Zea mays: one gene and its partner. Each later gene encodes a partner of the first gene's protein in a complex. Links are inferred from orthologs where the notes say so. Each region holds a gene or a part of one and is shown in the gene's direction. Other genes may lie near its edges.

What was found.
Region 2: mediator of RNA polymerase II transcription subunit 8 (region 1) and Mediator of RNA polymerase II transcription subunit 31 share a complex: the UniProt entries of both Arabidopsis thaliana proteins name them as parts of the mediator complex. The link is inferred for Zea mays from reciprocal best matches to the Arabidopsis thaliana genes MED8 and MED31.

The regions. Positions count from the first base shown.
Region 1 is NC_050102.1:151,800,844-151,805,359, reverse strand, and holds the start of mediator of RNA polymerase II transcription subunit 8, read left to right. Parts: upstream 1-1,512; 5' UTR 1,513-1,646; coding exon 1,647-1,885; intron 1,886-2,038; coding exon 2,039-2,163; intron 2,164-3,145; coding exon 3,146-3,270; intron 3,271-3,372; coding exon 3,373-3,556; intron 3,557-3,688; coding exon 3,689-3,793; intron 3,794-4,110; coding exon 4,111-4,178; intron 4,179-4,415; coding exon 4,416-4,516. UniProt on the Arabidopsis thaliana protein: Component of the Mediator complex, a coactivator involved in the regulated transcription of nearly all RNA polymerase II-dependent genes.
Region 2 is NC_050096.1:207,962,116-207,966,294, forward strand, and holds the start of Mediator of RNA polymerase II transcription subunit 31, read left to right. Parts: upstream 1-1,379; 5' UTR 1,380-1,454; intron 1,455-1,577; 5' UTR 1,578-1,609; coding exon 1,610-1,739; intron 1,740-2,217; coding exon 2,218-2,314; intron 2,315-2,390; coding exon 2,391-2,469; intron 2,470-4,179. UniProt on the Arabidopsis thaliana protein: Component of the Mediator complex, a coactivator involved in the regulated transcription of nearly all RNA polymerase II-dependent genes.

The DNA.
Region 1 (4,516 bases):
AGCTAAGCAATTATGACGAAGCAAGTGACCAGTTCCAGAACTAGATTTACCACTTAAAGTCACCTTGCAGTACTTACAAATGGCTCCATACCATACCATCTTACCATTGACAAGGTGAGTCGGTTCATCAAAGTCATGCCACACTTTAGATCTGAGAGGACACTTACTGGAACTGGTGGCGGCGGTGCTTGTGCCGGTCGGTGTCGGGCTCGTGGATCCTGTGCCCGCTTGACCACCGGTGGCGGCACCAGGGACATCATCATCATTATCGATGTTGATGGCAACACTACTGCCAAATAGGATCCGGGCATCCTCTGCTTTGTTATGATATTCTAGCCGGTGCTCCTCGTCCACAACGGTCGGATGAAGGTCATCGTCCATGCCGTAGACAGATGGCTCCTCGCCGACGACTGGGGTCCCTGGACAGCTACGTGGCACCGACACAAGCGATACCTAGGAGATTCATCACATCCATGGGATTCCAATCAAGATCTAATACACAAGAGAAGGGGATGGAGATTAGGGTTCAGGACATAACCTGCGCAGCCGGAGCACCTTAGTCGCCTTGAGAGCACCACCGCGAGGAGGAACACCTCTGCTAAGAGGATGTCAGGAGCCGAGGATGGGGATTACTCTATTGGGATTCGGGTGTGAGGAAGGGAAGATGATGAGCGAAGAGATGAGGAGAGTATAGATGTCCAAACAAGCCGTCGCTGGTAGCCGTCACCAGTAGCCGTCGGCGGGAGAGGCGAGATTTCGTCGGTCACCAAGGAGCAAGAGGTAGGAGCCACGGGAGAAGGGGAGGGGATTAGGTTTAGGGTTTCGAGCGAGCGAATGCCGGGGGGGTGCGTCATGGGGCAGGGCCGATGTGTGTTATGCGGCGTGGAACGGACAGACGCCGTGTCTGGCTCATTTTCGTGCTGGGTCGGGCCGAGCACGACGTGCCGGCCTCAAAGCCCAAGCACGACACGTCCACCGTGCCGGGCTGTCCCGAGCTCGATGCGCAGCGAGCCGTGCCGGGTTGGTACCAGGCTTCGGATAAATTTGGCTGTCCGGCCAATATAGACATCTATACCTGTTAAACTGCTAAACAAACTTAGCATCATCAGGCATCGGCTACACTATCATTGTAAAGTCCGTTTGCTTGTAGGTTGGCTTTAATTAGCCCCAGCTCCTCTGTGTGAACTAGGAGGCGTACGTGCCATCAAATTCTGTAAAGTTTGAAGCATGCTGCAGGCAGTATACTCGTGAGGATGACACAAAAAACACATATTTAGTGATACCAATTTAATGGTGTAAATACCACCGTCTCTTTTTGTATAAGTATATTAACTCTAAGTTTAGTTAAATAAAAAATAGTTTAATATATGACGACTCTGTATGCTCATCTCATCTAGGTATACATTTTGTTAGGACTTCTCCAAATTTTGAACTCTGCATTATGAACTTTTGGATTCTGGACACATGTTTTGTCGAGTGCAGAGAATTGACTTGACTGTCCCCCGGCCCTCACATGTCAGTCTGAGCCAGACACGCAAACTGGTGGTACCGCCATAACGATCTGAAAACATCCTCCATTAGTCCGCCTCCGGCCACCCCCTTTCATTCCGCCGCAACGCCACCGCCCCCAACGCAAGTTTCCGGCGATGGACCCCGCGGCGGCCGCGCTAGGTGCAGTACCCGCCGCTGGCGCGCCACCTCCGGGCGCAGCCGCAGGGGACCAGCAGGCAGCTCCCCGGGTTGAGCGGCTCAGCGCGGGGGTGCAGCAGCAGTTGAACCTGGAGGGGATGCGCGCGCGCGCGGTGGGGCTGTACAAGGCCATCTCCCGCATCCTCGAGGACTTTGACGTCATCATACGCACCAATCCCAGCGCCTCCCCCAAGTGGTAACTTCATCCCCAGCCCCGCCCCTCTTATTGGCTATCGGCTGATGGCTGGCAGCAGTGGATTCTAGGGTTTAATTAGGATGCCTCTGCTCGTGTGGCGTCGCTGCGCGATTGCTTACTGGTATGGTATGGCTGCCTCTGGGTGAATTGCAGGCAGGACGTGCTCGGGCAGTTCTCGATGGTGAGCATGGAGCTCTTCAACATTGTGGAGGACATTAAGAATGTGTCCAAGGTGTTTGTCGTGTACCCCCGGAATGTCAATGCCGAGAATGCAACAAGTATGCCGTTCTGAGTTTTTTCCCCTTTATGGATATGCATATATCTTTTGTTATCTGTGTCAATTTGGTTATCACGTAATGGTATTTGTTTTCTTAGAAATCATAATTAATATTTAGTTGATCTAACATAGGGGAGTTTAACATCTGTTGGTTATGTTCTAGTTGCATGGTTTACTGATTCAGTCATGAAATAAATCATCTCCAGTTCAGGGACAACAATTTCCAAAGACATTAAGAGTTCTTTGCCCTTGTTTGTAAAAGTTTGGTTGGTTCAATCAAGACATGAACAACAACCTCTCTGAAAGATTATCAATGGAAGCATGTAATTTGGGAAGAAATTATCTGATATGAAAATTTGCTCAGTTTATGTGTTGAAGTTTTGCTATGTAACCAACTGTATTGAGTCCAAAGGAATCCATCAAACATTTTCCCTTATTTGACCCAACACTAAATAGTCTTTCGTTGTTCATGGTCCAGTATTGGTGAACACCTAATGAGATTATGATTTTCAACACATGATGAGATTATACGATTCATTTATGCTTCCATATATTTTTAGAAAAAAACCCTATGATTTTGTTTCTAAAGTAAGGATGAATGATGACTACAAGTATGACCAGTTGGGCTAATACTTTGCTGTGCCGTTTCTTTGGGGTCTTCTCACAAGTTTTATTACACATGAAGATTCAATCTAAGATTTTTCTTACTGTCAACTGATGTTTATTTCCAGTTGTCCACTAATCAAAATTCTGAATTAGGTTTCAGACTTTTGAAGTTTTCTACTAGCCATGGCCTTAATTTCATGGCAAGCTATTCTGAGATAAATAAACACAGTGCAAATGACCCAACAAAAATGTATTGGAAATGGTCATTCTAATTGTTCTGATGCATTGTCATCTAGTGTTCCCATTTTGCATACTATCAATGGTTTGTACAGTTATTTATTATTAGAGTTGCAGTATAATCCTTATGAATATTGCAGTACTACCTGTAATGCTGTCGTCAAAACTGCTGCCTGAGATGGAAGTTGAGGAAACTACTAAGAGAGAGCAACTATTGTCTGGAATAACTAATCTACCTGTGCCTACACAGATTGAAAAATTAAAGGTGACCAATTTAGTATGAAAAATGAAAACCTATAGCATGTGTTGCTAGCTTGATTTATCGGCTATCTATTAATTAGAATGAACCTGGTACCATCCCTTTCAGGTTAGAATAGACATGATTGGGAGTGCATGCGAAACTGCTGAGAAAGTAATTGCAGAATGCCGTAAGAGCTATGGGCTGGGAAGCCGTCAGGGGACAAATCTTGGTCCTACATTGGACAAAGCACAAGCTGCAAAGATACAGGAGCAGGAAGGCCTACTTAGAGCAGCAGTAAATTATGGTGAAGGTGAAAGGCATAGTGCTTGGTCAATATTAATAAAAAATGCAATTAGATTTCCAAAATAAAGAGTCCTTTTTACTTCTATTTTGTGTTACAATTTCAATACTTATAGCCTTACTAAAATTATCTGAATGCCAGGATTACGGGTACCTGGAGATCAGAGGCATCCACAATCTCTTCCTATCCATCTGATAGAAGTGCTTCCTTTAGGAGACGGTGCACAAAATTTTGGTGATAGTTCTGGTATGTAGATTTTCTTGTGTATCTAAACTCTCTTAATGAACCTCTCCTCGTTTTGAGTTTTAACATCTGTCGATTGTCTCATTTTCATGCGCTATAGACCGAACTCCTATTGTGCTAGGATTAGTGTTTATCCTCAATTGCTAAAATCACGACCATTTGCATTGAGATATGTGCTGTAAAAGTTCCTTATATGTTTAACATTTGCCATATTAATGGGAGATTTGTGCCGTAGAAGTTCCTTGTATGCTTAACTCTTTGGCATTTGCATTGGAGATGTATTTGACAAATGCACATCTAATTTCTATTTGTATTTGCAGGTAGTTATCCCAAAAATATGTCAACATTTGCACCTAATAGTGTCAACAGCCAGGGAAATCAGATTCAGGTTTCTGTTATAACTGAGTTATTATTATGATATTAGAAAGGGTCTATCTTCTATTGTTATCACTCTTTTGAATTGAAAACCTCTTTGGTTCATTCTGTTTTTATGACATCAGTCATCTTCCCATGGTGTTGATAGGATAGCTATTATATATCATAGGGAATGGCAATAACAAAACTCAGATAAATGTTTGATATTTCTGTTTCAGTTTCAAATTTGTTGCCTTCTTACTACTTGCAGGCATCCGGAGGACAGTTACTTGGAAGGCCTGCGCCATCACCTGGAACCACAGGAACCCCTAATTTCGAGAATGTGTCCACTCCTCCAATGCCATATGCTAA
Region 2 (4,179 bases), on another chromosome or scaffold:
CTGCCGACGACCTCCGCCTCGCCCGACCCCGGGGCTCGGACTCGGCCTCGGCCATGGAAGACAGACTCGACCCCGGCTTCGGAGGAGCCTCCACGTCGCCCGACCTAGGGCACATGCCCGCCACGTCAACAGGAAGCGCCATCATCACCCTACCCTGAGCCGACTCGGGCCGCAGAGAACAAGACCGGTGTCCCATCTGGCTAGCTCTGCCAGATAGGCAATGATGGCGCCCCGCTAGCCCTGTGACGACGGCGGCTCTCAGCTCCCTTACGGAAGCAGGGGAACGTCAGCAAGGACCCAACCGCTCCGACAGCTGTCCCTCCGCCAGGCTCCGTCGCTCCTCCGACAGCCACGACACCACACCAGCTGGGTGCCAAGATCTCTCCGGCTGCCACATCGGCATGTACTTAGGGCGCTAGCTCTCCCCCGCTAGACACGTAGCACTCTGCTACACCCCCATTGTACACATAGATCCTCTCCTTACGCCTATAAAAGGAAGGACCAGAGCCTTCTTAGAAAAGGTTGGCCGCGCGGGGACGAGGACGGGACAGGCGCTCTCTTGGGGCCGCTCGCTTCCCTCACCCGCGTGGACGCTTGTAACCCCCTACTGCAAGCGCACCCGACCTGGGCGCGGGACGAACACGAAGGCCGCGGGATTTCCACCTTTCTCACGCCCGTCTCCGGCCACCTCGCTTCCCCTCTTCGCGCTCGCCCACGCGCTCGACCCATCTGGGCTGGGGCACGCGGCACACTCACTCGTCGGCTTAGGGACCCCCCGGTCTCGAGACGCCGACAGATGTCCTAGAGGTTGACAATGGAGCGCGAGCATATCTACCGAGTAGGGCGCTTTGTGATGATCGATAATAGATAGATCTACAAGAGGGATTTATAGTTGGGTTAGTTTGACTATAGCAAAATAAGTCTTATCCCCTCTCTATTTTATTAGACGAGAAACGGGGGAGAAATAAATCTACGTACGTGATCCACGACACGCGAAGATATTTGGATTGAGTTAGATTAAAAAAAAAATACTTCTTTTTTATCAGAGACGATGTGAAAACTTAAAAACCAGTGCTTTACGTAGCAGAGAGTGCTTCAGAGAAGAGAAGAGAGAGTGACTATATTATTTTTAGGAAATAATACTCCCTTGATTTTTTTATTTGTCGTCGAACAAGTCAAAAATGAATTGGTGAGCGTCATATATAAAAAACTAGAGGTAGTATAATTTTAAAAAGGATTAATAAAAGTAAAAAAATTCCAACCGCACACGGCACCTCCTCTCGTCCGTTCGCCGCCTGGCTCGCACCGCTGACAGTGCGTCAGTCCAGGTCGATACTCCCTCTTTCCAAGATCCGGTCATTCTCTCTCGGGGTCGGCTACCGCCGCCGCCGTACGCCAGGTGCCGACTGCCGAGACCTTCTCCGATCTGTTTGCCGGCGAAGAGCGCCCGCCAAGTATTCCCACCCTCTTCTCTTCCCTAGTTCCCTGTCTGCTGTGCGAAATCGAGTTCTCAAAACTCTAACCTCAGACTATTTGATTAATGTGTGTACACATGTACACCCTTGTTCCTTTAATAGATCTGCCCCTGGTTTCAACCGATTGAACCCCGATGTCCGACGTCGAGAACCCTGGCGTGGGTGGGAAGCCGCCGCCGTACAAGGACCCTGACAATGGGAGTCAGCGATTCCTACTCGAGTTGGAGTTCGTGCAGTGCCTCGCCAACCCTACCTACATCCACTGTACTGTACTGTCCTCCATTCTCTTGTTTCATCTCACCTTGTTGGGATTAGCTAATCTGATGTTGCACGCATCTATAGAACGTTTTCCTGTACCGGTTTGTTACCAATTTTGATAGGGGCTGTGCTGCTAGTAACTAGCAATCCATTGCAACGGACTGAAAATTTTTGTAGAAGTGTGTGTTTGTCAGTAAGTCCCTGCTTGAGAAGGGAGCTAGGAGTGCTTAGGAATTTTTAGTACTAGCCTAAATCCCATTCTCCCCTATTCAAACTGGTCTCGTCTGCATGGGCCTCATGAGCGGTTTCTTATCAATAGGATATGATTGCTAAGCTAAGGCTGTGATATTGTTAGTAGTGTTGCTTGATATCATCATTTTGTGTGCCTCATGGCTCCTTGTTTTTTACTTGAACTTTCTTGTTCAATGCACATCATGTTTGGTACTGCATGGATGATTTGAATGCTCTTTCTTTTCCCAAATAGATCTAGCGCAGAATAGATATTTCGAGGATGAGGCATTTATCGGGTACCTCAAGTATCTAAAATACTGGCAGCGACCAGAGTATATCAAATACATAATGTGAGTGATACCATATTCAGTGGTTTTTTCTGCAACAGAGGAAATGGCTTGCTCATTGTTTTTGCTGATGATGCAGGTATCCACACTGCCTTTTCTTTCTTGAGCTTCTCCAAAATGCCAATTTCCGAAATGCAATGGCACATCCAACAAACAAGGTGATCTTTTGGCCTAGAATCACACGTTCACACTTGAGCACCGTTTTTAGCTTTTGTTTACCGTCTTGCAGTGTCATCCCTTCTTTCAAAACCTAGCTGAAGTTGCTCTGTTGGGCCATATTATTTTGACTTGCTTTCTAGAACCTATAAAAAACAGAAAGTCACACAAACTTGATATGAGTACTTTTGTAGAACTATGCAGCACGTATACTGATACATGTATCGGTATCACAAGGATACTGATACACAGATACAGCAATTTCCTAAAAATTCCCATTCATGAATACATTTTACTATTTTTTAAATAAAAGGATAATAATGCATATTAAAATGGATAGCAATCTAACAATGAAACACCACAATCTACTTAACTATTTAAGTTCTAATTAAAGCACAGCAGGTCTCAATTCTCAAATACAGTAGTCTCAAATTTAAGAAATTAATAAAAGGCATTCAGGTTTGCAATTCAGGCTCGCACCAAGTTCCTATTCCGCATTTGTCTTGCTTGTTTCATTCTCATCCACAACATTAAGCTGGAGATCACCCAAACCAAAAGACACAGCTTGCAATTCAGGCCCATCAAGGGAGAGGTCAGGCACTTCAAGGATGCCAATACCACCAAGTGAATAAAAAAATCTCCTCCCACATCCCACATCATTGTCTCTCCTGTCTTATATGCATCAGTTCTTTTTGGCAGACAAAGACCAAATCTTCAACATGCTCTGAGTTATGGCATTTCTCTTGACACTATGGATAAAGCTATAGATGAGGCTGGTTGGCTAAGCAATTTGGTGGCCAAATTCATCAATAAGGGAATAGGCTGTCCATGAGTTGTCCACAAAGTCATAGGGGAAACAGCCAATCTATCATAGATTGAGTCAGGATCATTAGATTCTTTTGAACAACTAGAGAACCTTGAGTACTCTTCTTTTACTTTATTCAATTTTTCCAGCACGCGAAAGAACTTGAAGCAATTCATCCTCATCTTTTTATATCTCTTTATTCTTGTGGGGTGGTTCATGGCTAGGAACGGGAATGGGTCGGGTCGACCCATTGGGTAGTCGACCTGACCCACAAAAGTAAGGCCAATAGGTCAAACGTCAAAGGGCCGCTTCAAAGTTTAAATTGGCTGATAGGGCCAGAACCTGTTGACCCAATGGGTAATGTAGGTCTACCCACTAGTTGCATAACAATATTTTTCTTGAATTTGTTGGTCTTCGTTATTTTTTGTTTCAAATAAACACGATTAGTCATAACTTATAGACACGTCTATGCTTGGAAGTATGTCGAGGAATATCTGGAAGTATAAATAGTTAAAATACAAAATTGCATTATTAATACTTTGTGCATCGCAGATCATAACCAAAATTCTAAAAAGTGTTAAGCCATTCATGATAACTAGGTTTGAACCATGCATGACTCCCAGCAGAATTTTAGAGTTTTGAACTATGACTAAAATATCATTTTGGACTATGACCAATGTTTCAACCATGCATGCATGCACATACAGGGAGCAACAGCCATTAGTTGGATCTGGCTATGGTGCCCAGCAGTAGCCCTCAGCCCACTCTTGTTTGCAACTGCAAGTAGGCTGAGGGAGCCGCCACTTGGCCACTTGCATTATTTGCACCGGCTAGTTACCTGGTCCGGAACCTTGTGCCCAGCTGCGTTAGTGTCCTGGCGGCCAGGCCAAACCAACCAAGCTGCAGG